Linked DNA regions of Oryctolagus cuniculus. The protein of the gene in region 1 binds, or shares a complex with, the protein of each later gene. Links are inferred from orthologs where the notes say so. Each region holds a gene or a part of one and is shown on either strand. Other genes may lie near its edges.

Region 1 (15,106 bases):
CAGGCTGTTGGGAAGAGGAGAAGCCCTTCAGGGTTTAATTAATACAAGTCCTGAGGAGGATGACCGTCGGGCCTACCCGAGTTTCTGTGGGGGCAGAAAAGCAATGATGTCCAAGGAGAGCAGGGCTTCTGGAAGCTGTGACATCAGGGGGTAAGGGCGGTATTGGGCCCTGTGGAACTGGGGGTCTCCTGCACCACCTACCTCCTTTCTCCCGGTCCCCAAGGCCCCATGTTCTGCAGGCTTAAGATGATCATCGTAAGCACAAGTCCAACTGAGTGCTGTGATCATATGTGTGTGCCTAGGACTGTGTGATAGCAGCGTCCTGAACCACTAGATGCAGATATGTGTGTGTGTGTGTGTGTGTGTGTGTGTGTGTGTGAGGGCACCCCTCAAGTATGCACAAGAGCATGTTCAGTGCTCAGGCTCCTCCCTGGCCTGAGCATTTCACATCCTGGGGGAAAGGTGCTGACCCACCAAGTGAGCCCCACATCCCCTACTCACAGCATTTCTGGGTGTTTAAAATTCAATTTATTTAGTTTGGGTCCCCCCACCCAGTCCTTGTACAACCCACTTCACAGAAAGGCAATGGGGGAGGGCATTACTTGGGTAGGGGACTTCTTTTCCTTTGTATGTGTGTTGCTTATCAGACAATTCTACCCAGTCTCCACTGGCCTTCCCTACTCTTATTTCTACCATGCAAGCAATAACAACACTCATTTCAAACAGGCTCAGCCTGCATGTCTGCCAGCCAAAATAAAAAAAGTTACATATGATTGGCAGTACATTATTTAATGTTGCCTGTTTTTCTTTAGTTTGTTGAAATGTCCCTTTCCTTGATGCCTTAGAGTTTGTAAAATCTTTTGAAATATAGTATACATACAGAAGAGGGTACATATCTTAATAATACAACTCAAAGAATAACCATGGAGTGAACAAATTTGTCTTCCTCTCCCCTCCTCCTGCATCACCAGCCCAAAGTAATTCCTATCCTGCCTTCTAACACCATAGCCTTACCTGTTTTTTTTTAAAGATTTATTTTGAAATGCAGATTTACAGAGAGAGAGAGAAAAAAGTTTGTAAAGAGAGAGGTCTTCCATCCACTGGCTCACTCCCCAGATGGCCTCAATGGCCAGGGCTGGGCTAGGCTGAAGCCAGGAGCCAGGAGCTTCATCCAGGTCACCCACGTGGGTTCAGGGACTGAAACACTTGGGCAATCTTCTACTGCTTTTCCCAGGCCATTAGCAGTGAACTGCATCAGAACTGGAGCAGCTAGGACACAAACTGGCTCCTGTAAAGGATAGTGGCATCATAGGCAGACACAATGTGGGCCCCCAGTCTTGCCTCTTTTAAAACTTTATAAAACGTGAGCCATCTTCTATGATTTTCTTCTTTTACTCATGTTGTATCTAGAAATTCATCCATTTGGATGCTTATAATTCGCCCATTTTCACTCCTGCTGTATAATGTCATATCATGTAGGACATATGCATTATTTTTGAGTGTTTTTAACTCTAAATAAAGATTCATAAATATTCTTGCAATGTGTTTCATGGAGCACATATGCAAGTTTCTCATAGGATTGACTAGCTATGTCAAAGGATATCCATTCCATGCTACAATGCCAGTTTCCCAAAGCCATTGCACCAATTGCTTTGTCTAACAGCAGTATATTAATGTTCTGTTATCCCACATTTTTAATAACATGAAATATCATCTGCCTTTCAAGTTTTTGTCAATCTGGTGAATGAGAAACTTCTTTTTTGCAAATTCCAAATTCTTCCAAATTTGTGTTTGTCTAATAACTCATGAGATTGAAGACCTTTTCATGTTTATAGATCATTTGTTTTCTATGAAATTTTTGTTAATGAATTTCACCCATTTTTAATTAGTAGTTTTGCTTATTTCTTATTGATCAGTAGGAATTGTTTATATATTCTGTATTTTAATATATTTAGATGAAAAATACCTTGCCCAAAGTCCTATATTGCCTTCCAAAATTTTATAGTTTTGTCTTTCACACTTAAGTTCCTCAGCTACTTGGAACTGATTTTTTTGTATGAGGCAGAGTCTGATTTCATTTTTGTCATATTGCAAAAATGTATAATTTGCCATTCACGAACTTTGAACAGAATTTCTGTACCTAAAGGCAGTTCTAGAAACTGAGAAAAACAAATAGATGCAATAAATTCCAAGAAGCAATAAATTCCAAGGAGCAAAACTAAATTCTGAACAATGACTACCTGGGACTGCAGCTGGCTGACCATTGGGCAGCATGGGAATGTTGAAAGAAGACAAGTCTTGTGAGCATCCATCCTCTGAGTCAGGTGGCTAGCCTTTCCAGTACTTTTCCACTGTAAGCTTTGCCTCAATAAAAACTAAAACAAGATTTTGCTCTTTTTTCAGTTCTTTGGACTACAGTAGTTTGGATAAGTATTTGCCTTCTGCTCTGGCAAGTCTAGTCTCTGTTATGATGTGAATAACCAGTATACCCCACATATCACATAGAGAAAGTCTATCCTCTCCCTACTGACTTGCAGTGCCACCTCTGTCATTGCTCTGTTTCTGTGTCTAAACCTTACTCTCTCAGCAACCACTGCTTCATTACAGGTCTTGCTATCTGGACAGCAGCTTCCCCCCACTCCTTGATTTTCTAGAGCATTTTATATATTCTTGCTATTCACAACTCCATATTTTTTTTCAGGCTTCACAAAACATATATGTTGAAATTCCTGCTGGCATTGCATTGACTCTTATAGGAAAATTTCAGGAGAAGTAATAGCCCAAAGAAATTGAGTCTTCCAAACTACAAACATTTATCTCTTCATTTCTTAGCTCTTCTTTAATCAATTCCAATAGAACGTTATAATTCTCTCCATACAGTACAAATGTATCGTTCAGTTTATTCCTAGGTATTTGATAGTTGTAGATGTTATGATAAAATTGTACCTTCTAAAATTACAAGTTCTGTCTGTTGCTGGTATATAGAAATGCAGTTGATTTCTATATGATGGTAGCCAGCAACCTTGCTAATATCATTATTAATTTCTATCTGGTCTGCAATGGTGCTAGAAATCGACATTTTTGTATCACATAAATTGTATTCTATGCTGCCAGTGTGGTTGACTATCTCTCCATAACTTTATTTTATTTTCATTCCTTTCTATTCCCCATTTTTGTTTCTTGTTTTATCCCTCTCCTGTTAAGTGTTTTCCTTATTTTAAAGTTTTTAATATATGAAATATAATAACTCTTTTTCTACCACACCTAATTTCTACCACTAATTTCCCCAGTTTGCCTTATGTTCTATAATTCCATTCATGATAAGTTCTTAAGTACAAAGAGGTTGGCTGCTATTTCAGTGAATAAGGAAATGCGTATGTTTGTTTATATGAGTAATTTTCCATGCTTCCTAACATCAATCTGTTTTGGTATCATAGGGTCTTGGCCTGTATCCCTTGGAAAATAGAGCATGCGACAAAGTTTATATGCTAGTATTCTATGACGGGGTATCATATAGATGTCTTCACGCAGAGGGTGAAGAAACCACTAGCTTTTTCAGAAGGTGTTCCAAGTCCAATCCTTCAAAAGGCAGTTATGTCCTAAAAACACTTAAAAAGAGTTGGTAACCCTAGCTACAGTTTCAACTGCTGCAGCTTCTCTGGGAATTCTAATGGATGGGTATCTTCTTCCACCCATTTTACACATCCCTCCTCCTCAGTCAGCCCTTCAATGGACTAGGTGGCTTGCCTGCTGGGGTGACTCATCTTCATCTTTGATGGGTCTAAGTTCCACAGCTTGCAGTTTGGTGGAAACTTTATTGTGTTCCTGGTGGAACTGCTTCATTTTCCCTGATTACAGGAAGTAGGATCATTAATTCAATAAAGTCAATCCAACTCCAAAGTCTATCCTAAGTGTCCATTTCCTAAGACCAATACCTCATTTCTGACAACTGTTTTCTAAGCCTGGGTTCACTGGAAGATAGAGTGTGATTTGAGACATGTATGCGAAAACCTTACTGTAGGATGCAATTCCATGAGTGCAAGAGTAATAGGGAAAGGAAAATGAGGCAGGGAAGGATGGAAAGAAAATACAAATTTGCGTGCTCCTAAGCTTGTCACTGCTACTGAAGAAAATACAGCTTGTTTCTCAGTCCCCCTGGATACCTCCAGATAGGTGGTATACAACCATAGCACATTGGATTCCCAAGGTAGGGAATTGATCTGCTACTATTTAAAAAAAAAAACACACACACAAAGATGGTACATATCTATGGGGTATTATATGATGCTTTGATACACACATACGTTATGTGATGTCCAATTAGGTAAACAAATATATTTCCTCTAACACTTAACGTCTCTTTATGGTGAAAACAATCAAAATCCTATATTCTAGCTTTTAAAATAAATTAGTCACATCCACTGTGCAATAGAATCATAGAAATTCTTACTCCTCTCTAGCTGTAACAGTACCCATTAATAAGCCTTTCCCCATCACTTGCTAGCAGGTTTTTGTCTCATTTCTCTCACTGCTCAAAGTTCATCCTCCTGGGCCATAACTTTCTCACACCCCTGAGTTGTTTTGCTGGTTCCAGAAGGGCTAAGAGTCATGACAGCCTCCATGGATGCAGTCAGACTGAGCTTGAATGCAGATTCTCTGGGAGTAGTGAGCATAATAGAGGTCGTTAAAGAAACTGACCTTCACTTTGGAAAAGGCCGAAGGAGTCAGATTTATTAAGAGATGTAGCAATTGCAGAGGCAGTCAGGGATTTTGATCGTTTATGTGCCTGAGGGTCTGGGAATTAGATGAAGGCTGAGAAAATATGGAGGGGTATAAAATTGAATGAGGCCATGTGTACTGAGGTTCCTGTATTTGGACAAACAAGGCAATTCTAATCCTAAATATTTCAGAGGTGTATAAAGGAAAATCTGGTCAGTTACAGACTAATTGTAAGAGATACTGGAACATCGGTTTCCTAAATAGCATTACTGCCAACAACATTGGACTCCCACCAGCAACACTGAAGAAATTGTATGCTTTCACATTCTCTCCAACACTTCATATTGTCAGACTTTTTGAGAATTGAATGGGAGTACAGTGGCATCTCATTGCAGTCTTGATTTGCATTTCTTTGACCACTAACACTGAGAAGTTGAACATGTCTTCATATGTTTATTGGCCCATATGTGTTTCTCTATTTGTGAATTCTGTTTGTCTATGAAATATCATGTCTTTTCCTCATTTCTCTACCAGATTGTTTGTTTTTCTTATTAATCTGTAGTCTTTTATATTTTCAAGATAGGAATTTTTTGTCACTTGTGTTTCTTGAAAATATATTCCCCTTATGCACATCTGGTCTTTTTTGTACTTTATGTATTTTTTGATGAATAAAAGTTCTTGATGTTGGGGCTGGTGTTGTGGTACAGTGGGTTAAGCCATATCCTGCAACTCCAACATCCTGTATGAGTCTGTGGGTTCAAGTCCTGGCTGTTCTACTTCTGATCCAGTTTCTTGCTAATATACCTGGGAAAGCAATGGAAGAAAGCCCAAGTGCTTGTGCTCTTGCCATTCACATAGGAGACCCAGATAGAGTTCCTGGATCCTGGCTTTTGCCTGGCCCACTCCTGGCTGTTGTGGCCATTTGGAAAGTGAAGCAGTGGATGGAAGATAGATCTCTCTCTCTCTCTGTCTGTGTCTCTGTGTCCCCTTATCTCTGTGTAACTCTATCTTTGAAATAAATAAATCTTTGTAAATAAGTTCTTAATGTTAATAAAGTTAAACATCACTATTGTACTTTATTGTGAATGGTTAGCATTAAGAGCTTTAAATGTGTGTTTTTACGTGTAAGTATTTAATGCACCTGGAATATATTATTCTTTTGTATATCACATGAAGTTGGGTTCCAATGTCATCTTTTCAAATATAAATATTTTCCAGCTTCAGTTAAAGCCCTTCCTCACTTACCTAACATGCTAAGTACATCATGTACCATACAGTTCTGTGCATGCACAGGTGTGTTTCTGGGCGCTGTGCCTGCATCCATTTATGGGTACAGACTAGAGTTCACCACCTCTTACATTCTTTAAGTTCCACTAAAGCTGGCTAATTCTGATTTTCTGTGTTTTCCTGAGTGTACAAACGGCTCTAGGCGTCATCAGGTAGAAGCTGCCTCCCTGCTACCCCCATGAATTCTGCTCAGGCCTGTTAGGGCGTGGGCTGCGCGGTGAACCAGCCAGAGGCTGGGGACGACCTCCAGGTTTTTAATCCTTCCGGGTTCAGTCGCACACCTGCTTGGGCCCTTAGCGCAGGGCCTTTTTTGGTTTCTAAAGGGTCGCTGCGGTGAGCTCGCCGCGTCAGGTGGACCTAGGAGTGGGCGGGCTCAGGGGCGGGGGCGAGGGGCGGCAGTGGGCGGGGCGTGGGTGGAGCTCCGCCCCCGGCCGCCCGGCGCGCCGCCTGCGGGGTGGTGACAGGCCCAGCAGCGCCAAGTCCCCGCCGCCTCCGCAGACTCCGCCGCCGCACAGGCCTGGGCCCTCGCACTCCCAGCGCTGCCTGGACCAGCAGCCTTGTGTCCCGACCCCTGGAAGATGACGCTCAAAGCGAGCGAGGGCGAGGGTGGGGGCAGCATGCGGACGGCACTCTCCGACCTCTACCTAGAGCACTTGCTGCAGAAGCGCAGCCGGCCAGAGGTGAGCGGGCCCGGTGGGTCCTCTGGGTGCGGGGCCGGGACTCAGCTCCGGGCCCGACCATCAGCCTGAGGACTTCCTCTGTCCCCGGGAGAATCAATCCCTGGGGAGCCTGTCCTTGAGGGTGTTGGTCCCAGGATGGAGGCCGCGGCAGCTTGCGGGGTGGGGGCCCAGCGAATGCGCGGCGGGGTTCATGCTGGGCTCGGAGTGCGGTGGATCCGAACAGTCCTGCTAGATGGCAATCTGGAGGCCGCAGCCTGGACAGAATGCTCGTTAAGGTCAAGGGAAACTTCCTCATGGATGGAAGTCACAATAACAGAAACACTTTAAGAGCACACTCATGAGAATGTCTGCTTGCTGGTTGTTGAACTGCCTGTGTTTGGGTCAACTTCTGGCTTGAAATCGCTCACTCACTGTCCCTCTGCAGTTAGGACAGCCCCCTTGTGCTCTGCTGCAAATAGGGTAGCCTGTGTGGATTGAGGGGTGGAAGAAGGAATCCAAGGACTTGGAAGGTTATCCTGCCCTCAGGATTCCAGTGATGGTCAGTAAATACCTATTACCCTTTGTCTTCAAAGATGCCCTGAGGGGAGGTTGTGGCTATCTGCTGTTTTGTAGCAAGTCTTCAGTACTGTGAGCATTTTCCTGGTATTATCTGCTGTGCATTTGGGGATCTCTTAGGCAGGGGCACAGCCACAGGACTGCTCCCTCCTTCTCTCCCTCACTCATCTGAACATCGATGCTGCCTCTCGAACCAAGCAGCATCTTCTCCCTGTGGCCTGGAGAGTGTGTCAAGAGAGATACACACACAAAGACGCTAGATGCTGCATTCATTCGTTAGTACATATAAGCTCACTGGCCAAGACCATGATACTAGCCATTTGCTTTTAAAGACACAGTTTCTCTGTCCTCTTGCAGGTCAGGGGTATTTCACACTCAAGTGTTTAAATATCTTTAAGTGGGCCCTTAGAAATACTTGCTGAATTAATTAATAAACAAAGAGGTGGACATTAGAGAATTAGAGTAACTTTCCAATTTCACAGAAAAGTAAACTGAAGATCACTAAGACACCTCTGTCTGTCATTTCAAATCATGATTACAACACCGTGGGCCTCAGTGTGGAAATGAGCAGCCATGGAAAATGCTATTGCTATAGAGATGAGAATCGATGTTCACTTGACTGAACTTTCAAAAAATCTGTTTACTGAATTTATTTGGACACTTTTATTGAAATATACTTATATAATAGAATTCACTAATTATTTTTGTGTAGTTTGATGAGATTTGACACATATATACAATCATATAACTATTATCACAATCATGACATATAACAAACATTTGCATCATTCTAGAAATTTCCCTTGTGGCCCTTTGCAATAAGTCTCCCCTTACCTGGAGCCTGGCAACCACTGATCTAACACTGCACACTTGCCTTGTTTTGGATTGTGTATAAATAGAATCATAAACTATGTAGTATTTTGTGTCTGCTTCCTTATGCTTGAAAGAATGTGTGCCTTTTTGAAAAGATGCCCTTTCACTATTGGAGTGGTTCTGTATATACACTCTCTGAGGAAACAGCAGTTTTCCTTGGGCTATGAGTTTATCATAGAATATCAAATACACTTAGATAATTTGTTTCAATATTATTTAAGGATTTAAAGAAGCTGGAAGGTGGAATAAGAAAACTTGCTAACCTTTCAAATAAAATAGTGTATAGATCTGCCAAGGTACACATCAGAGGGAGAATTTGCAAATGAGGTTCATCTTCCCATTGGGAGCTTTACCACTCTTTGCCACAACACTAGGCTCTGCATCTCACTTGCTGTGTGGCCTTGGGCAAGCTGCTGGAAGACTCTGTGCCTTAGGTTTCTCTTCTCTATGCATTGGTTCTTAAGACATCAGATGCTGCGCTATGCCACATTCTGATGCAGTATTGATTGCAGATCTATGAAGTAAATAAGGAAACATGCAGATGCACAAATTAAGACAGCAGCATGGGGTGGTGCAATTGAGGTATGACTGCTGGATCCTACATTTGGCAGTATCCAGGATATAATGGACAAATAACAGTCCAGGCAGACACCAACGGTTTTGCTGAATACCATACATCCTGTGATGTCTTGCCAGAGGCTGGAATATTCATAATCTGCCCCTAATTATGATTTTTCCAGAAAAAGAATTTTCTGCACAATTGCATTTGATTGTTTCATGACAAGAGACACTTTCCATGTAAGGCTTTTCTTTTCACAGAAGGGATACTAGAAGATGAAGTGCAATTTTTAAATTATTTCAGCTTCTCCCCAACTTTCCCAGTAAGTGATGCCGGTCCAGTGCTTCCCTATCCTTCACCAGCAGGAACGTTTTTCTTTTAAAACTAGAAAGACTAGTATACCTTGCAGATAAGAATCTGGTTTGATTGTGGCTAAGTAGGATAGAGCTCTGTTCTTTTCTAAGTCATCTGCTAGCCTTTGAAGGAGAATTTCAAGTCAGGATCAGCATTGCTCAACCTTGGTGCTGTCATCATTTTGGGTCTGATCATTCTTCATTGTGAAAAGTACCATCTTGCGTCTGTCCCCACCCTAGTTGTAGGGATCAAGAATGTCTTCAGAGATTGCCAAGGAGGGAAGATGAAAAGAATTGACATTTTATTGATGCAGAGATTTTTTTCCCTGGAAACAATGACTTGCTTTAACCTTTCAGTGTTACTTAAAAAGAAGGACACTGGGTGTGGAGTACAAAATGACAAGAATAAAAAAAATCATATTTCAAAATTGGCTGGGGATGGGGGTGGGGTATCAGTGATGCTAGATGTGGAGAAGAGGAAATAAAACCCTGAATTAGGGAACCAGAAGATAGCTTTCGTAACATGGAATTTTCTGATTTTTCACTTTTTCTTTTTTCCTTCATATAAAGAAATATTTGAGCAAAACACCTAATAAGTTTTTACTCAAAGGTCGCTTTCCCTGTGAGGTCTTTTCTGTTTTATTTTCTCCCATAGTACACATCATTGTCTTCAAAAAATTCTGTCTAACCAACGTGCAGTTTGTAGCCCTGACACAAGGTTGCCTATGCAGTCTTTCCTTGCAACAATGATAAACTCTGAAGTCCATAGTTTAACTCCTGGAGCCTAACACTGATTGTCCTGTAAGCTTGGACAAGTCTCTGAACCACTTTGTGCTTGCAAATATTGATCACAAAATGAGGATGTGAATTTAATGAGTGGCATTATTTACCAATAATTTCAGCAGGGTTTAATGGCGGGCAGTGTGAGGACTCAACACCAGGTGTCTGGATTTGCAGTCCTGTGTGTCTTCTCTATGGAACTTGGCTTTCCTGTTTTTCTACAGTGGAAGGAGAAGCCGAGTGCATTGGGCAGATAAGTTGTTGGAAGCTTGACCTTTGGATGGGTTCTTAGGCCTTGCTCTCTCCCCAGTTCTTATCATGTGGTTAAACAGTGCTAATCTCTTTCAAAAACCTTGAGGCATTCTTGGCTTTCTCACAGTTTCTTGTGTGTGTGTGTGTGTGTGTGTGTGTGTGTTTTCCCAATGTAGACCAGGATATTGCCCAGGCAGAGAGTGGGTTTTCCAGCTGTGGCAGGCTGGCAGCCCCCAGGGTCTGCTGTCTCCTTCTTGTACTTGGCTTTCTAGGTCTTGTGGCTGTCATGGGCAAAGAGGCCAACCATGGACTAAAACAGTCTCTTTTTCCTGATTCTCTCCCTTGCTCCTAAAGCCAACTGTAATTGCCCCTGTAGTGTTCAGCCCCACCACTGTCCACCCCCTGCCAAGTTTGTTTTTAAATTCCAACTTCCTTTGAGTAACTGCCTCTGTCCTTTGAACCCTGCTGCAGATGTTTCCTCCGAAGGGGGTTTCAGAGCAGCAGGCATTGCTTTCAAGGGCAGAGGCTGCAGAGCAAAGGCCAGACATGGAGTTGCAGACAAGTGTTTACCACTGTTCCTCCTGAATTTAAGATGTCATCTTAAAACACAGCCACTTCCACCCTGCCTTTACTTTGGTTGCGGGGGTGGAGGGCAGGATTTCCATAGCCCTGGGACCTCTTGTGTCTACTGGAGATGGCGCTGCAGTTTCATGGAGACATTGTGGAGGTTGTGAAGTAGGCTTTGTGAAATGGAATCTACCCTTGACCTTCATTATTTGTTCAACATTATTCATGTCACTTTGCATAGCCTAGCTCCTGTGATACCTGCAGTGAGGAGATGTGGAGGCCGATGGAAGGAGTTCCTATAAGATGGGGTTGCAGGGAAGCTGGCCCTCCCTTTTGAAGAGTCTCAGGAAGACAGGGTGGCTCATGGACAAGTTCATGGTAGAGAAAATCCTGCTTTGCTTTCAGAAGCCTTGACTTGGGAGTTTGTTCTTTAGTTAGCACACTGGAGGTTTCCGTTTTTCTTAGTCATCATTTGCAACTTCTGGTGAGTGTGGTAGTGACTCTTAGTCATTGCAAAGCAGGGTGTCTGGCTGGATAAGCACATTTGCAAGACCAACCTTTGGGATAGCAACTCTTGAACTTTTCTGACTAGAATGTGCTCTACCTCTAGTAAACTTTGCTGAGTCCTTAATTTAAAGGCTGACATGTTAAAAGTAATCATTGTAATCAAGCTGAGTAAGAAAAATATGAGGCAAGGGTGCCAGTTTATCTTCCTCTTTTAGGTACACAATGAACACCTGATGATGTTGCGTGTAGATTTTCCCCTCCTTTCAAAGGTCATATTGTATTCTGTGTACTAAGACTTTCTGCTCTTATGTTCTCTAGAACATTATGCAAGGGTGTACCAAGGCCAGAAACACAGGCGTGTAGTGATAGATCGCCATGGTTTTAATTTGCGTTTGTCCATGATGGTTAATGATGTTGAACATTTTTTCATATCCTTGTGTGCTATCCTCATGTATCCCCTTTGGTGAAATTTTTTTTCACATCTTTTGTTCATTTTCAAATTAGATTGTTTTCACTGTGTAATATTGAGCATTCTTTTTTTAAAAAAATTTATTTATTTCAAAGGCAGAGAGAGAGAGAGAGGTCGTCCATTTGCTGGTCCACTCCCCAAATGACCACAATGCTGATGTCGTAGGTGGCAGCTTACCCACTACACTATAATGCCAGCCCCTGAGCATTCTTTATATATTCCAGATAATAGTTTAATAGTTTTTTGTTGAGTATGTGCTTTGCACATACTTTCTCCCTGTTTATGGCTTGCATTTTTATCATCTTCACATGGGCTTTCATAGACCAGAAGTTTTTAATTTTGACGAGGTCTAATTTGTTAATTTTTCCTTTTATGGGTCCTGCTTTTGGTGCAAGCTTTAATAACTCTGTGTAGCCCTAGATCCCAATAATTTTCTTCTATTTTTTTCTTTAAAGTTTTATACTTTACATTGAAGTCCATAGTCCATTTCAGAAGGTTTAAGGTTTAGGTCAGTATCTGTTTATGGATGTGCTTCTGGGTTACCTGTTCAGTTGCATTGATTCTTCCACTTTCTTCTTTTTCAGCTATTCATGATTTTCATATGTATATGATTTGTCAAAGGTTAAGTTGTCTAGAGGTAGTTTTAATGTAACCTGTGTGGTTCAGGTGAGTGAAAATAGTCAAGTGTAAGAAAAATAACACTCATGTGCTCAGTGACCAGGTGGCACAGCAGTGACAGCAGGGAACATTTCTGCCAGGACCACCTGGAGAGCAGGTGCCTGATTTGAGATTTTTAAAAAGTTGGAGTCTCTTGAGTTTTACTAAATAAAACAAAAACACATGGTCAAAATAAAATTAATTTGTGGACCATCAGCTTGTAAGTGAATGTGATTAGTGGCCCTTTCGCTTCATTTCTTCTCTCCTCTTTTTACTTCTTAAATTGTATAATATTGTATGTACCTTCATATTGTCATGGTACTGTCATGTACAGTCTGTCCCTTAACTATAATTGTTTCATGATGTGTCATATGGATTCTAGAAAATAAAAATCAGATCTCATTTGGGATGGCAAGATGCCCAACTAAATTCTTTTCTTTCCAGCCCATTTTTTTTTTTTTTTTAGCTTGGGATGGCTAAGTTCCACAACTCTGGCCAATGAGACAAGAATAGCTGTCCCCCGGGGAAGTACTGGGATGAATGCAGCTGGCCTGGCCCTTCTTCCTCCTTCCTGACTTGAAAGTGGAGCTGATGGCCAGAGTGGCAGCTGTTTCATGTATGTTTGAAACCCAACCCTCATTGCTTTCAGGGATTCTGAGCCCTGACCCTGTGCTGTGCTGCAGTGTGGCACAGTTGTTCCCGCAACAGATTCCTCCTCTGGGCACCTAATCAAGCTATTGATAGCTTTTATACCTAATGACTTTTAACAATGTTTTCTTTTTTATGGGTTTCTGTTTCCTTCCCTTCTTTACTGTCATTTAAACCAAGTTTGTCGGGGAAAGGAGCTGGGCACAGTGGTGGAGGGGATGGCACAGGGAGATCTGCTCAAGAACTTAGGCTTGAACCAGAATCTCAATCACTTAGGAAAATTCTATTTTAACAGTAGAGAAAGCACTGTGGTTGGAGAACTTTTAAGAAAAACAGACTTTTATTTGCAGCATTGTTCAGCAGTTAATAAAAGAGCCAGGACACAAGCTCAGACAGTGTATATGTTTCTTTTAAAACGTTTGCACTGTATTTGCACCCTGTGCTTTTTGTGTTACTAAAATTTGTGATTAAAGTAATGCAAGCACATAGTACATAATTTTCAAGTTACGAGCGGATATATAGTGGAAACAATTTCCTTCTCAACCCACTCTGTAGGTACCCAGTTCCGTTCCCCAGAATCAACCTAATAGATTATGCATTTATAAACATATCAGTTTTATGCTGTTACCTTTCCTCTCATTGCTCCCAGTTGTACCACGTCAGTTTTCCACGTACAATGCTATCTGTGACAGTAATGCCATCTGACTGGTTATCATGTGACTTTTAAACTTCTAGTTGCTAGACAAAGCAGTTTCTCTTTCTCAGTACTTCCCTTATATGATGTTACCCAATAACTCACACTACTTCAAACCTCACCATCATATCAGAGTTTCCATTGACTCCTTAGAAAAAATGCAGTATATTAAAATCAAAATGTTATTTGGAGGATCATTCCTGGATATGGCTAGAGTACCACTGCCATTCATTTTCAGCTTGTACCCAGAAACCAGACCTTTCCATAAAGCAAGCCCAGACTGTTCCTCCTCCTCCCACTGGCCAGATTGTTTTTGATTGAGTATTTTCTCTGAGATAGATGGGGAAATTTTTCAGATTTCCACTTGGCCTTCTCCACTGTCAGAGCTCTTACTCCAAGCTGCTTTAGTGCTAATAAATCAATAAGATGAAGAACTAGCACAGGAGGCTGAGAAGGCACATTTCAGGAGAGGAGAGTGATTATCTGTGAGATTGCATTTCCACTGGTGTGCCGTATTCTTTGGATGGCTTTGCCAGTTTACCCAGCCTACCATTCATGGACTTTTGTGATGTTTCCAGGTTTGGGCTTTTAAAAATAATGTTGCTCTTAGAAGGGCATACTACTGCTTCTGTGGGAGTCCAGCCCAAAATGTGTAACCTCAGTCTACTCATGAGAAAACATCAAACCCAAATTTGAGATACATCCACCAAAAAATAGGTCTGTCCTCTTCAAAAATATCAAGGTCCAGTGATGAGCATTTGGCTTACCTTAAGACATCTACATCCCATGGAATACCTGGGTAGATACCAGCCCTAGCTCCTGATTCTACCTGCCTGCTAATGGGCACCCTGGGAGGCAGCAAGTGATGGCTCAAGTACTTGGGTCCCTGTCACCCATGTGGGAGACTAGGATGGAATTCCTGGCTCCTGACTTCAGTCCCTGCCCTAGCTCTGGTTGTAGTGGGCAAGCATTTGAGGAGTGAACCAGTGAGTGGATGGAATCAATCTCTCCCACTCTCCCCACCACCACCCCAACTCCATCTCCCTCTGTCTCTCCCTCTTCCTCTCCCTCTTTCCCTCCCTCCTCCTCATATTTCTTAAACACATAAATTTTGCAAAATGTCGAGGTCGGGATAGACATTTAGCCTAATGGTTAAGAAGCCAGTTGATGCATACATCCTGGGTTTGATGCCTAGTTCCAACTCATGCAGATTCTGGGAGGCGGCAAGTGGGGGCTCAAGTGCTTAGGTTCCTGCCACTTACATGAAGAGACCTGGATGGAGTTCCTGGCTCCTGGTTTTAGCCTTAGCTGTGGCAGACATTTGGGGAGTGAGCCAGCCAATGGGTGTTTCTCTCTCTCTCTCTCTCTCTCTCTCTCTCTCCCCACTGCCCCAGCTCTCAAATACATTTTTAAAGTGTGTGTGGTTTTTTTTTTTTTTTTTTTTTAGAAAGCCAGGTCATGAACAACAAAGAAAGGTTGAGGAATTTTTCCAAATTAAGTGAGACT
Region 2 (15,106 bases), on another chromosome or scaffold:
GGGTGTTACTTTCCATGATGGAAATCATGGTTCTCTTATGCAGATGCTTCATTTTCTTGGGAGTATCCCCACTCTCATCCTGAGACAATCCTACTTTCCCTTGACAATCTTACTTTCCCTGACATTTTGTACCCAAAGCAGGGGGAATGAGAAGGATCTGCCCCATCCTGGACAGGTCTCCAGTCAGTCTCCTTGTGCTTAGCCACATGCTCTTCCACTCACTCCAGAGGTCCCCTGTCTCCAGGTCACGGCTGCTGCCCTCTGCATGCCCCATGCCCCACCCACCCTTGGAATCTTGGAACTTCACCCAACACCCTCTTCACTTTGCACAATTCCTTTACCCAACAGTAAGCAGCTCTGCAAAGGGAGAGTGTGCAAAACAAGCTAAGTCTACCGTCTTGAGCCAAACACAGGAAGGAACTTATACATGAGAGTACTGGAGAAGCGATCAGTGACCATGTCCCCGTGGCTTCCTGTGACCATTCCCATCTGTGACAGTTACAGCTGCTGTGATCATGACACACTTATGTCCTTACATGCCTAGTTCGTTTGCATGACTTTTAGTCATTTTTTTAAAATTTTTTATGTATTTATTTTCTTCTACTTGAAAGAATGACAATGATAGAACTTGAGAGAGAGAAAGTTTCCATCTGCTGGTTCATTCCCCAGATGGCCACAACAGCCAGGGCTGAGCCAGGCTGAAACCAGGAGTCTGGAACTTCACCCAGGTCTCCCACATGGGTGGCAGGGGCCCAAGTACTTGAGCCATCCTCTGCCACCTTCCAGGATGTGTTAGCAAGAAGCTGGGTTGGAAGCAGAGCTGCTGAGACTTGACCCAGCTCACCAATATAGGACATAGGCATTTCAAGTGGCAACTTAACCTGCTGCACCACGACACCCACCCCAACATGAATTTATCATTTTCTCTACTGTATTATGCATCTTCTGTCTGTATCATGGTTACCAAATGCACAGAACTTCCAGGAGATGTACACCCACCTTTCAGAGCACAGTAGACTTGAGTATCATTCTCTTGTTTGGAAGTGAAGTCACTGAGCGAATTGGCAAGCAGTCAACCAGGAATGAGAGGCAGAGAGGCCACACTGGCTGCCTGCCAGGTCCCACTCTGTCCTTGCTTGTGAGCTAGTTCTAGAAATTAAAGGAGATAAAACATGCAAAGCTCTTAAGAAAAGTTTGTGAAGAATTACAATTCCTGTTCTCCTTTTCTTAGTCCAAGACTAAGTATCCCAAACTTCTCCCTCCTCTTAGCTAAAGAGAGAGCAAAGCCCCCCACATGGTGTAAGAGGAGCTCCCTCCTCTCTTTGGTGGGCTCAGGAGTTCACGGGGAGCAGGTGGAGATGCAGACATTCAGTTCTGTTTCACACCAACGGCTTAGGCCCAAAGGAAGGGGGCTGTGCGCCAAATTCGGCTTCCTGAAAGTTAGCAAGGCGCTTCCTCACCACATCCTCATTTCTGATGGGAGCTCTGGGAGCTTGTTCAGCACATTCCTGCCTCTTTCCCGCCTGTCTCCAGGGGCATCCAGCATGCACAGTCACAGATGTCTGTGTAGTGGCACCAGAAGTCCACCTGGGACCCTGGGGTGTGCCAGGCAGGGTGGGGCCACCACGAACAAGGAACTGGTGGCCCCATCCCCCACCCCAGGCACGGACCTCTCCATGGATAGGCCTGCAGGGCACCTGCTCAGTCACTGCGGGGCGTGAGCAGCTACAACATCTCTATGGTCCTCAGGTTCTCTTTCTTTGAAGAAGAGGGAAAAGGAAAAGCAAACTCAAAGCAAGCACCACCCACAAGGACAGTTAATAATGACCACGTGTGGGAGAGCACAGCACCAGGCCTGGCACATGCTGGGTGCCCAGGAAATTGCCCCGTGTGTATAATCCCACGCCTGCTGTGATGCACTTCTTATGGAAAGTTACACAACCTGGAGAGCATCTGAGCCACCAAGCTGACCTCTTTGCCCTCTTTTCCTTTTCTCAACTCTTCTGCTAGAGATTTGCACTCCCCCTGATCCATCTCGGGGCACTTTCCTCCTTTTCCCCCAGTCTGAAGCTTCCCAAATTTTCTCAGCCCTGCTCTAAACAGATTGGTTTTCTTTGTTTATTAATATTTATCTAGCTACCTGTTTGAAAGGCAGAATGACAGAGACTGGGCAAGACAGACAGAGACATCTTCCATGCCCTGGTTCACTCTGCAAGTGGCTATAACAGCCAGAGCTGGGCCAGGCAGAAGGTAGGAGCCTGGAAGTCCATCCTGGTCTCCCTTGTGGATGGCAACCATCTGAGTACTAGGGCCAGCTTCTGCTGCCTTCCCAGGTGCATTAGCAGGAAGCTGGGTCAGAAACAGAATACCTGGGACTCAGATGGGCACTCCAATTCATAATGCTGGTGTGCCAAGTGGTGGCTTAACCTGTTGCACAATAATGTTGGATATTTATTTAATGATGTAATTATTTATTTGAAAGGCAGTTACAGAGGAGGAGGAGGGGGGAGAGAGAGAGATCCTCCATTTGATGGTCCACTCCCCAAGTGGCTACAACAGTTGGGGCTGGGCCAGACCAAAGCCAGGAGCCCATAAGTCTATATTGATCTCACATATGGGTGGCAGAAGCCCAAGGACTTGGGTCATCTTCTGCTGCTTTCCCAGGTACATTAGCAGGGAACTAGATTGGAAGTGGAGCAGCCGGGACTAGAACCAGTGCCCAGTACAGGATGCTGGCACTGCAGTAGGTCGCTTAAACCACTATACCACAACACCAGCCCCACAGCTTGTCTTTTGTCAGTGAACCCACAGATGAGAACCCACCTTTGTGTCACTTCACACCCCCCAGACCACCTGGTTCCACCGGGTTTCTGTATTGTTGCACTTCTCTTAGAGAACCATGAGGATGTATGGCCATTCTGGATGCCTAACCAGGTACCCATAGCTGACGCACTGCTGTAAGTTCAGGGCAAGACTGCAGCTGTGGCTATGAGTCCCACAGCCCCACTCTCCCCTCTAGCTTGCACTATAAGAGCCAGCCTTTAGCAGCCTCCAGGAGAAAAAAACAGAACCTGGCAGCTCAGTCCCAGCGAAGGTCTCCTCTGAGCTTTTACACCCCTCTGCAAAGGGTTCTTGGAAAGAATGTTCTTCTGGGGAAAGGGAGATTTTCCTGGGGAGGGCTGTGGGACTGGAGGCCACTGACCTCTCTGTGCCAATCAGATTGCCTCTTGTACCCCCTGTTCCCTACTCTGTCATGATGAGGAGCTTGGGACAGCATGAACAGTGGAACTGTTAGGAAACTGGCGCAGTTTTAGCCAGGTGGCTGCATGGCCCAGCTACCTGAGCCAGGCTCCACCCCCATCCTAATGGAATTCACTGCTCCTGCTTCCCTGCCTGCCCCCTGGCGAAGTTTTAAAAGGGCCTGTTCCTGAACACGTGCTCTCTTGGCTCTTGGTCCTTCTCTTTCGGTTCCTCTCTCTAGCCTCCTCCTCTGGTCTCTTGGCTCTCTCTCTCTCAGCTCCTCTCTGCTCTCTTCTCTCCTTGCTAGCTCCTCTCCTCTCTGTTTCTCTTATATCTTTCTCTTTTTCCTTCGCCGCCCCTTCACTCCAGTCTGTAGGGTGTTCTCCAATAAACCCTTTCCCTTACTCTGGTGTTCGGTGTGTTTTGCGACGGCTAACATTAATATATAACAGGAACCCTGGTTATTTTCTTTCCATTCCTCTTAAAATAGGCTTCACCACATTTGGGGCTTCTTAAGCATCAACCAGCTTGCCAATCATTTCAGTAAAACTATGTTTCTGTGCTAATAGAACAGGGTAAAAAGAGACAAGACACGGAATACACGTAAAAAAGTGTTGTTGTTATAGGGAGTTCAAATAGATCAGTAGGAAAAATGTCAGCCAACTCCCCAAGTTGAGAAAACAGCAGGAATAAATAGTCCACCTAAAGACCATGAGGTTTGGGGGTGTGCACTTAGCACAGTGCCTCAGGTACCTCCACCCAGGATCATAGGGCTCAGGTTCAAGTCCATGACTATTTCTGATACAGCTTCCTGCTAATGTGCACCCTGGAAGGCAGAAGGTGATGATGACACAAGTAGTTGGGCCTCTGACAGCACTGTGAGAGATCCAGATGGAGTTCTTGCTCCTGTCTGAGGCCTGGCCCATCCCCGCTGTTGTAGGCATTTGGGGAGCAAACCAGTAGAAGGGAGATCTCTCTCTTCCTGTCTGTCTCAATGGCACTCTCTGCTTTTGTAATCGATAGAACAAATACATGAATAAAAATTCAATAGTGAAGGTTTACCAATTAAAATGTGACAGTGCAGACAACATCACTGGTAATCAGGAAAATGCAAGCACATGCTTCTCCACGACAGGATTCACAATGATTTAAACATCCTGCTTCATTCTGGCCAGAGGCTCTGAAATGAGCACCGGCACTCTTGACCGGGGAGTACACAGATTGCTGCAGCCACGCCTCCTGAGGGTTCCAGCCTTAAACGCACTCCCAAGCTTGAATCTGGTCATTCCACTTGTGGAAGTACAAACGAAGGGGAAAATAGGAAACGCTGGTATTCACACACATACAGTTATCAGAGCACTATTTGCAAAATGCAACAACCAAATCATTAAGATGAACTAAAGAGCTTTTCCATTTTATGCAGGAAAACAGACGCGACATAATATTTGGGGGTGGGGGCGACCATAGTCCTGTTTTGGGCAACTGTCAAGGAAACAGCAATGAGAAGCAGCCCAGGGGCCTGGCATTTGGCCTGGCACCCAGCATCGGTGTGCGTGGGTTGCACATTCAGCTCTGTTCCTAACTCTAGCTTTCTTCCAATGAGGAAACTGAGAGGCAGCAGGGGATGAGCCAAGTGACTGGGTTCCTGCCACATACATACATACACACACACACACACACACACACAGAGTGGAGGCGACCTGGACAGAGTTCCTGGCTCCTGGCTTCCACCAGGAGCCACTGCAGGCATCCGGGGAGTGAATCAGCAGGCAGGAGTTCTCCCTGTCTTTCTGCATTTCAAATATACAAGTAAATATTGTTTTTTTATTTTTTAAAAAATTTTTAAAGATTTTATTTATGTATTTGAGAGGTAGAGTTACGTATAGTGAGAGGGAAAGAGGGAGATAAAGGTCTTCCATCCACTGGTTCATTCCCAGATTGGCCGCAACGTCTAGAGTTGTGCTGATCCGAAGCCAGGAATCTTGTGGGTCTCCCATGTGGGTGCAGGAGCCCAAGCATTTGGACCATCTTCTCCTGCTTTCTCAGGCCACAGCAGAGAACTGGATTGGAAGCAGAGCAGCAGTGACCAGAACCAGCGCCCATATGGGATGATGGCGTGCGGGCGGGGGGCGGGCAGGGGATTAACCTACTGTAGCACAGCGCTGACCCCAAATATTGTTTTTTAAACAAAGAAAAGCACAAAAAGGTCAGACATCAGACATGAAAAGTCCCCCGCCCCCGGCTGGGATTTCAAACCAGGTGGCCTGGTCTCAAGCGCCTCCTGCTCCTGTGGAAAGGCGAGGCGGGGATGGGGTTCTCCAATCTGAGTAACTACAGGCTCAGAAGTCAGGTCCAGGTTTTAACCAAGCAGAGTGAATTCTCCACAAACTCCAGTGTGTCTGACTTTGTCTGACAGTCCTACTTCTTTTTTCCCTATAATAAGATTTCCCTACCAAGCGGGACCAGAGCTGGTCTGTCCCTCATTTCATAGCCGTGCCGGGCAGGCCCCCTAGCCGGGCCATCCGCGGGGAAGTTTTTAGGAGCACACGGTTGGGGGGTACTTCTCAACCACAGGCTCTGTATCTGGCAGTCGCAGATGGAAACCGAAACAGCGAGAAAAGCCGCCGGAGAGTTGGAGCACCGCGGAGTTCAGAAGTGGGCGGGTGTGTGTGTTTAAAAAAAAAAAAAGGGTGGAAACCCCACCAAGCCAAGTCTGCAGAAAAAACAAATGAAGTGTGCCTATCTCCGGCCTGGAGCCCCTCCCCTCGGCCCGCGCCCGGGGACCGTGACCCAGCTCCGCGCCCTCCTGGCCGCCGAGGGTCCGGAGCCCGCGCGCGCGCGCGACCCTCGCCGCCCGCCGCTGCGCCCGGGGCCGGCGCCCGCGACCCGTCGGCGATGAGCAGCGGCAACGACACCTCGCAGCTCCCGCCCAACGGTGAGTACCCGCTCTGGGCAGGGGCCTCTTCGGGGGCCCACAGCGGGCCGCGCCGAAGAGACCCTGACGCTTTGCCTGGCGCTGGGCGGGTTGAACCAGGAGCCTGAGTGCAGCCCCCAAGCCAGCATGGAGCCCGCCCGGCGTCCGGACCCGACGCGCGAGGTCTGCGCGCTGCGAAGCCTGGGGAGGCCGCCGGACACCCGCCTCCCGTTCAATCCCGCGCGCGCGCGCGCGCGGGCGCGACCGCGGCTCGCTTTCTCTTTCTTGGTGCGGGAAACTTCTGGCCAGAGCTCGTCTCCGGCAGCGTTCGGCCACGCAGCCTACAGAGGCTACGGAGAAGTTGCCTTCTCTGCTGGCGGGTGTAGGGCAGGGCCCTGGGTCTGCTCCAAGCCCGCGGGGATGGCCCTCCAGGGCGCCTAGGGTGTCCCAAGAGGTGCAGGACCCCCCGCTGGCTTCGGCCCTTGATGGGCTTGTACCTCCCTAGCTACCTGATTTCTTTCTTTGTAGAGCCAGCACTTGCTTTCTTGCGGGCAGGAAATCGTACGCTTTGAGATTCTTGGTAGATGGTCAGAAACATGGCAGGACTGTCCCCACCCTCCCTCTCCTCCTCCTCCTCCTTCTCTGCTGTTGGGCTTTAAAAGGTCCAAAAGAAAATATTATTTTACTTTTTTCAGATGGATGTTTCTCCCTTTCATCTCCCACCCTGGCTGGGGCCATTCTTTAGGGTCTGTTGGAGAGGAGATGCTGCAAGTCCTATAGTATGTTGACCTTAAATAATTAATAGGATAATGAAATGAGGGTGGGAGCAGCAGACGCTTTGGGAAGTTTTGAAGTTGTAGTGGCAGAGAGGACCGGCCCTGGCCAAGCTTGAGCACTGGTGAGCAAGGCTGACTTGGGACGGCAGGTGAGTGCAGTGCCCCTGCGTATGCATGCAACAGTGCAACAGTTCGTGCACTTCCCTGAGTCAGCCAAGTGTGCACAGGGCAAGGGCTCAGGGCTCGGCGTCCGTCCTCAAAGCATCTGTGACAGTTACTAAACAGGGGCCTGAAGACAGTCTCTGTGCTCGTTTCAACATCTGCAAAAATGGAAGTCTAGTCGGGCTGTGAGAATGAAATGTGGCTCAGAGACAGACATGCAGGGTGTTCAATACACAGCAGGCGCCTCTGTGTTCATTCCCCAGGGGACTGCGGGTCCCTGAGTTCATGTGTGTTTACATGTGTGTCTGACTCCAGCTCAGGGATCTGTGTGCCTGTGTGGCAGGGCCAGGTCAAGAGACAGAAGGCACTGAGGAAGTGCAGGCTTCGTCTTTCCGGTGTCTGGAAAGCCTGGCCCACGCCCCAAGCAGACCTTGGCCCAGGACCGCAGGCACCTCCCTTCGGCAGTGGCGAGGATGCAGCCCTTGCTTGCACATCATCCCAGATCCCCCTTCCGATGTGATTTACGGCAGGAGCGGGAGAACAGCGGTGGGGGTGGGGGTGGCCCTCCTTGTGTTAGCTGTGGCAGGATGTGTCTACATCCTGTCTCAGTGTGTTTACACAGCTTCTGCTCTGAACCAGACGTTAGCATGGAGAGGACCCGCTTCTGGGGGCTGGGGCCGCCCTGGCCAGCCAGCACTCCCTGCTCCCAGGTCTGAGCACCACGGTGACTGCCAGTGAGTCATGAATGGCCCTCCATGGCTGTACCCTTGGATGCAAGGGGTCAAGTGTCCACGAGGAGATGGCCAGGTTGGGCAGCTTTATATAGAATCTGCTGCCTCTGGCAGAAGCTGCGAGAGGGGGTTGCATTCAGTGCCAAATGAAATTCCATCTCAGCGGTTGCTCAATCTCTCCCAGATACCGGTGGCGGTGGGAGTCACATGGAGCTGGCACAGTCAGCAGCTGGAGCTTTCCAAGGGAATCTAAGGTGGGGCAAGTGTTTCCGGGGACTTGCAAAGCATCCTGGGAAGCAGAGGGTGTGGGGTCGGAGACGATCTGTGTTTGCAGCTGGAAGGCATAAACACTTCTACAGTGGGTAGGAAGGGCCCCTCAGCAGCCCAGGGAGATTGAGGAAGCCAAGCCAGCTTGCCTCTGAGTGGCAGATACTCAGAAACTTCATGGAAAATGCACATGAAAAACATTGCATGGATTTCAATTATCTTGCACCAAAATAAACATCTTTTTATATAAGTAAAAGGATTTTTTTAAAAGATTTATTTATTTATTTGAAAGACAGGGTTAGAGAGACCATCCATCTGCTAATTCACTCCCCAAATGGCTGCAATGGCCAGAGCTAGGCTGACCCAAAGGCAGGAGCCTGGAGCTTCTTCTGGGGAGATCCAAGCACTTGGGCATTCCGCTGCTCTCTCAGGTGCTTTAACTGGGAGCTGGATCAAAAGAGGAGCATCTTGGACTTGAACTGGCACCCAGATGGGATGCCAGTGTTGCAGATAGCAGCTTTACCTGGTACATCACAGTGTTGGTCCCAGGACTGATTGATTTGAAAGAGAGAGAGAGAGAGAGAGAAAGAGAGAAAATCTTCCATCTACTGGCTTACTTCCCCAAATGGCTGCAATGGCCAGGCCAAAGCCAGGCTCCATCCAGGCCTTCCTGGGAGGCAGAGCTCTAAGTTCTCTGGCCATCCTCTGCTACTTTCCAGGTGCATCAGCAGGGAGCTGGATGGGAAGTGGAGCACCTTGGATTCCAACTGGCGCAGTGATATGGAAGGTGTAACTCACCACACCTCAATAGCGGTCCCTAGAATACATCTTAAAGACTATACCTTGTCAACATAGCTGTACTGACTAGTTATTCTCATGTCTGCAGAGTCTGAATTAGGCGGAACATTTGAATGAACGCTTTTGTGCGATTCCCATCAGCCCCTCCTCTGCAGCAGGGGGCATGGCCCAAGGTCCCATGGCCAGTTAGTGACGGCTTTGGAGCCAGGCCTGGGTTTGATTCCCTCTGCGGCATCTGCCAGCTTTGGGGGAGACGCAGATGCCTCAGAGCCTCTGTCTCCCCATCTGTCAGTGGCAATAAGTTGAGCTACTGTGCCTCAGCCACATTAGTGGGCCACACGCCCAGTGCGAACTGATCAGGGAAGCGTGGCCTGTGGGTGCGGTAGGCTCAGGAGGGAACCTATGCACACCTGCTGTTGTTTTGTTTTTCGCTATGCAGCAGCAGCAACGTTCATCCTTCTTGGGGGCGGGCCTGGGCCCCTCCTCCATCCTAGTGAGAGGGACTGTTGTGCACCTGTTGGTGGCTGCAGAGGAGAGCCTTGGAAGGGCAGGGGGAGCTGCTGGGCGGGCCAGGCAGAGAGGAGCACGGGAGAAGCACACAGTAGCAGGATGCACTGCTGGACTGCATAGGCACGGGCACTGGGAACCTGCCAGCCATGCCACAGATCCCCAGCTATGCTTGTGGTCCAACCCACTCCCACCACAGCCCACTGGGGCTCTCTTTTGTATGATCAGGACTGCCCTACTCTGGGCTGCCTCCCTTCACCCTGCCTTGGCCAGCAGGCTGGGCTCCTCCTGCACCCCTCCCCCAAGCCTGCTTGACTGTCTGGCTTCACCTCTCACAGCTGTCCGGGTCAGGCTTTTGGGGTAACTACCCCTCCCCCCGCCACCTAACACACACACCTGCTTGTCTGTCAAGGCCTCCTTTACATAATCCCACACCACAGAAGATTCCCCCAAACCCAGAAGAACCACCCTCCGTGGCCCAGGGGCACTGGGCAGCCGTGATGGGTCCCGGGTCCCAGAATTCTGTAACCCCCACCTAGTTGCTCCCAGGCACCCTGCATGGAGAGGTGCTGAGCCAGCCACAATGACATGAATGGGGGATGATTGCACAGGTGACCTCGATAGCAGGGCTGCTGTGGTTCCAGCACCAAAAGCCCGCCCCTTTGGGCCACAGTCCGTTTGAGAACTCACAGTGAGCAGCTCCTAGGCTGGAACTTGGCATCTACTTGGAAGCCAGGAAATAATAAGCTGAAATGGGCAGAAAATCAAGCCAGAGCTGATAGGCCCCGGAATTTACTCCCAGGCCTTCACTGAGTCCTATTTCATGCCGGCTCCCGGTCTCTAGTCCCTGCCCCCACCCTCCCACCACCACCTCCCTCTCTTCTCAGCCTGGGCTTTCCTTCAGATCATTGTATAGTCTGACCTTCTGAGAGAAGGCTGGCTCCTACCCTTGCCTATTATAAATTTTAATTTCTGTACATTCTTCTAGAACAATCTTTGAGCACAAGACCTTAGCAGAGAGTGATAGGAGTTCATTCTCCACCCCCCGCCCCCGAGAGGGGTCGAGCCCAGCCCACTGACACCGGATGCCATCCAGGGCAGGGTAGAGGTAGGAGAGGGCCTTCCAGGACCCCTCCACATGCCTGCCGGGCTGCCAGGCAGCCTGGTGGTTACTGCCACTTGCTGTGGCTTCACAGTGAAACCCTGGGCCCTAGAGGAGTGTGCTTGCTCATCAGCCTGGCTCCAAGGCCCCTGCCTTATCTCCCACCCAGACATCTTCAGATCCTCATCCTCCCATTCATAACTCTGTTTAAAGGCACATCCTTTTATTTATTTGAAAGAGCAGCAGAGAGAGGGAAAAACAGTGAGGTCTTCCATCCACTGGTTCATTCCCCAAATGCCCGCAATAGTCAGGTTAGGGCCAGGCTGGAGGCAGGAGCCACAAGCTCCACCCAGGTCTCCCACATGGGTGGCAGAAATTCAAGTCCTTGGGCCATCTTCTGTTGCTTTCCCAGGGGCATTAGCAGGGAGCTGGATCGGAAACAGAGAATCCGGGGCTCCACCCGGCACTCTGATGTGGGATGCCAATGCTGCAAGCCAGGACATCTACCTTGCCACTACAGTGCCAACCCCCCATTCATAACTCCTGACAGCTGTTTGTGATACTATCACTTGTGTCTGATCATCCCACAAACTCCTTCCATGTTAAAGCCACACACCGCTCCTCTTATTGCCAGACTGTCATGGTCACCTACAGTTTGGAGCTCAGCAGGCAAACCACTGGCCCCTTTCCAGAACACTGAGGGAGGGAAACTTCCTTTTCAGGGCCCTTGTGTAGGATGAGCCCTGGGCAAGGCTGCCCCAGTTATCTTCCTGCACCCCTGGCACACCCTAACACAGCTCCTTATCTCTGCTCTGCACGGGATGGCATGGATGGACACATCTCGTATAGAGAGCTGCCCCCTAGAGCCCTCATACCTCCTGCTGCTGCGTGCAGAGTGCATGTTTATGAGTGGCTGGAGTAGGGGCTTCAGCTGACTCCAGGTTCCAGCATGGCCACTCCTCCTCAAGGAATAGAGAATTGAGAATCTTCTCATTTTATCAGTAGCCGTCGCATGCACGTATCCTTAGTAGTGTTAAGGGGGAGATACTTGTGGTTTGCTGAGTTCAAACCAATGGGACAATCCTGCCTGTGTGCCTTGTGCACTGGGCCCCACCAGTGACAACTCCTGGATTCACCAGGCAGCAGAGTCCACTGGCTGGGAATCGTCTTCCACTCAGGACGCTGCTGCCCAATGCTCTCAACGAAACCTACACACATCCCTGAGCCAAGCTAGAGGCCAAGGTCAGGTTCCCCTCCTGGATTTTTTGAAAATCCTTTTAGTTCAAACTTTGCATCAATTTGCTTGTTGCAAACCTTCGTCATACCAGCTCCAAGTGATATTTGGAGTCTAGAGGTTTGGTTTAGAATCCAGACCTACCATTCGCTGGTTGTGACCTTAGGTGATTTCCCTGGCCTCGCTGTGTCACAGTTCATGGTCCAGGACAGGGCTGGCTTCGCGGGTGTGAGACCAGTGCCCAGCAGACCCGTCACTGCTTTGGTTTCCTGCTGTGCTGCCCCGTCTTCAGATCCTTCATTTTTGAACAAGAGCCTCAAGAGTTTTCATCTCACATGGAGACCCCCAAAGTTGATGACCAGCCTGATGCCTGTAAATGGGGCTACCAATAGTTGCTGCCTAGGGTTTGCTCTGATACTAGGTGCCTTCCCTGGATGACATACCTGGCACAGGGCTCAGTACACATCCCTCACTAAGCTTCATCACTGCCTGGTTCAGGCACACTGCTCAGCTTCTTCCTCATCTCAGCCTTGCCTCTGCTTGCCCCTCTAGCACTAAAATCACACCCAAGGACAGGAGCCAATGTGCCCAGGGCAAGGCCCTCTGCCCAGCACAGGTGCTTCCTCCCCCATGGCTCTGGTGAGCTGGCCGGTGATCACCTCCTCCCACACTGCTCTTTCATGTGTGCATCAAAGCTGTGGGCTGGGTATGCAGGCCGGCAGCCTGCTCCCACACCAGCTGTGCAACTTGGAGCAAACTTCTAACCCTCTGAACCTCAGTCTCTTCACATGTTACACTATGGAGGGGCTCAGGGTCCCCTGCCTCATCTGATGCTTAACTGCAGGAGTTGTGGCTGCCTTGTTCTAAAAGTGGGGTCTTTAAAAACATCCATGAATAATGGGTGAGTGAGTGGATGGATAGATGGATGGATGGGATGGATGGGGGAAGATGGATAGATGGGTGGATGAATGGTGGATGGTGTGAAAATTCAGCCAGGATAGACAGGGCTGTCTACACAGCATGCCCACAGCCCCAGTGTCTGCTACACTCTCATCCCCTTGCTGTCTCTGTGCACTGCTCCTCACACACCTTGTGTGCTGTGCAGGTCCCTGTCCACACCCTGACCCTGACTCACTCTCCCTTTCTCTGTCTTCTTGCACCTGTCATTCTATTCGTCTACGCTTGCCTTTGAACAGCTCACACCCCGGACTCTCTGGGCTACTCCTTAAGGCTTTATCCCCTCTCCCTGGGGAGGACTCATTTCCAGCCCATACTCTGGGCCCCAAACACCTGCCAGAGTAGCAGACCTTACCTCTTTGGGTCATGCCTTGAGACTGGTGTTGTCCTTTAAATCACCTCTCTTGAACTTCTGGAAAAACTTCTTATTTTAGTAAAGTTAAATTTCAGTTAGAGTGGAAAATCCAGAGTATTCCCCCTTTTTTTTTTAATTCACAATCTTTGCTTTCTCTGACCTGGGCCGGTTCACCCCTTCTTAGGCAACCTGGTGGTCCCCCGCTCCCAGAAGGTCACCATATTGAAGCTGAACTTAGTGCGGACACCCGATCAGCATAGCGCACGACAGCCCAGAACTCTTGGACTCAAGGGATCATCCGGCCTCAGCCTCCCGAGTAGCTGGGACTACAGGCGCGCACCACCCACTACCGCGCCTGGATCACAACCTTTGCTTTCTCACAAACGCTACTTTATTCTGGCCCCTCCCCATCTTGGGGCGACTCGGAGTAGTCAGATGCAGGCTTTATGCCACGTAACTTGTCTCAGTTCACCCTCAGGCAGCCCGGGGAGGTATTTTTATCTGCCCTTTGCATGTGATGCTGCCGAAACCAGACTAGATGTGACTTCCAGAGGATCCCTGTGGGCCCCTCATGCCCCCTTTCTCCCCGCCCACCAACCACAGAGTTAATAAGGGGCATCCCAAGCAGGTCCATCTGCCAGGCTCAGAGCCCCAGTGCTGTGAGAAGCCCACAAATATGCCTTGGTTTCTCTTCCTATCAGAAGGAAGAAAATGAACCTTTAAGGTCAACAAATGCATTTGTCTGTATTCCAATGCAATCATACGATCTAAGATTTATTTATTTTATTTACTTGGAGTATAGAGTGATGGGAGCAGTGAGAGAGGGAGGGAGGGAGGGAGGGAGGAAGGAAGGGAGAAAAAGAGAAAGAGAGAGAGAGAGAGAGGGAGAGAGAGAAAGACTGATTTTCTCCATCCACTGGTTTACTCCCCAAATGCCTGTAACAGCCAGGACTAGACCAGGCCAAAGCCAGGGGTCAAGAACTCCATCTGGGTTTCCCATGTAGATGATCAGAAATCAACCACATGAGCCATTGCCTGCTGCTTCCCAGGGTGTGCATTTGCAAGAAGATGGAATGGAGAGAGGAGGCAGGACTCAAACCCAAGCATTTCCATATGGGATGTGGACAGCCCAAAGGGTGGCTTAACAGTGGAGCCAAACATCCACCCCAAAATACAATTGATATTTGAGAGGAGGAGCTCATAAAACCACAGCAACTGGGCCCACAGAAGTCACACTGGCCCTGGCCCAGGCCAGCTGAGGTTGAGGGTCCGTCCCCCCATAACCAGCTCTGTCCCTGGCTCCCAGCGCTCTGAGCCTTCTCTGCATGGCAGCCCTGCTTCCCTCGCCGTCCTGCACAGAGCCAGAAGGAAATTCTTGGGAGACCCAGACAGAGATTTCGCTCTCACTCTCCTCTCCCCTCTCATGTTTTCTATCTCTGTCCCTCTTCGTCTTCCTCTTAACTCTTCTGGCCTTTTAAGCCGTGAAATAAGGACCTAATAGAAGTATACATCTTCTTTGCTCTGTTGCATTACCCTAGAAACATCTCATGCAGGCACAAGACAAGAGGAAGGATGGAGAAAAGGGGTGACTTGGAGATAAAGCAAGTAACAACTGAAAGACTGTGAGCTCTGAGCAGATAAAGATGAGGGACATCAGTGTTAAGGGTCCCCCAAGTGTGGAGCCCAAGAGGGTGTTGGGACACTTTCAAGGTTGCACTGATCACTCCCTACTGCTGTACAAAAGGACGGGCAGTGGACAGCACGTAGCAAAGGCCACTCTGTTCCACTCTGTACCCAGCCAGAAGGTAGGTATAAGTACACACACACACACTCAAATACATACACATGTGCACATATATATGCACACAAATATACATACACATAAGCACACACATATACAAATATACATACACACATGTACATATACATACACACATATATACATGCACATGTATAATGCACAAATGGTACACACATGCTCATACATGTGCACACCTGTACATATAAGCACACGTGTACACATACACAAAGCACACATATACATACATATGCATGCATGCATA

What was found.
Region 2: the proteins of MPP1 (region 1) and GYPC are in contact, whole or in part, in an NMR structure (PDB 2EJY), measured with the Homo sapiens proteins. The link is inferred for Oryctolagus cuniculus from reciprocal best matches to the Homo sapiens genes MPP1 and GYPC. Residues at the interface, in NP_002427.1 of Homo sapiens: Pro81, Met82, Gly83, Ile84, Leu86, Lys87, Leu88, Leu100, Val130, Gln134; in NP_002092.1 of Homo sapiens: Arg123, Lys124, Glu125, Tyr126, Ile128.

What each region holds. Positions count from the first base shown.
Region 1 is NC_091453.1:133,416,519-133,431,624, reverse strand, and holds the start of MPP1 (55 kDa erythrocyte membrane protein), read left to right. Parts: upstream 1-6,584; coding exon 6,585-6,686; intron 6,687-15,106. UniProt on the Homo sapiens protein: Essential regulator of neutrophil polarity. Regulates neutrophil polarization by regulating AKT1 phosphorylation through a mechanism that is independent of PIK3CG activity.
Region 2 is NC_091434.1:122,855,865-122,870,970, reverse strand, and holds the start of GYPC (glycophorin-C), read left to right. Parts: upstream 1-5,972; 5' UTR 5,973-6,135; coding exon 6,136-6,175; intron 6,176-15,106. UniProt on the Homo sapiens protein: This protein is a minor sialoglycoprotein in human erythrocyte membranes. The blood group Gerbich antigens and receptors for Plasmodium falciparum merozoites are most likely located within the extracellular domain.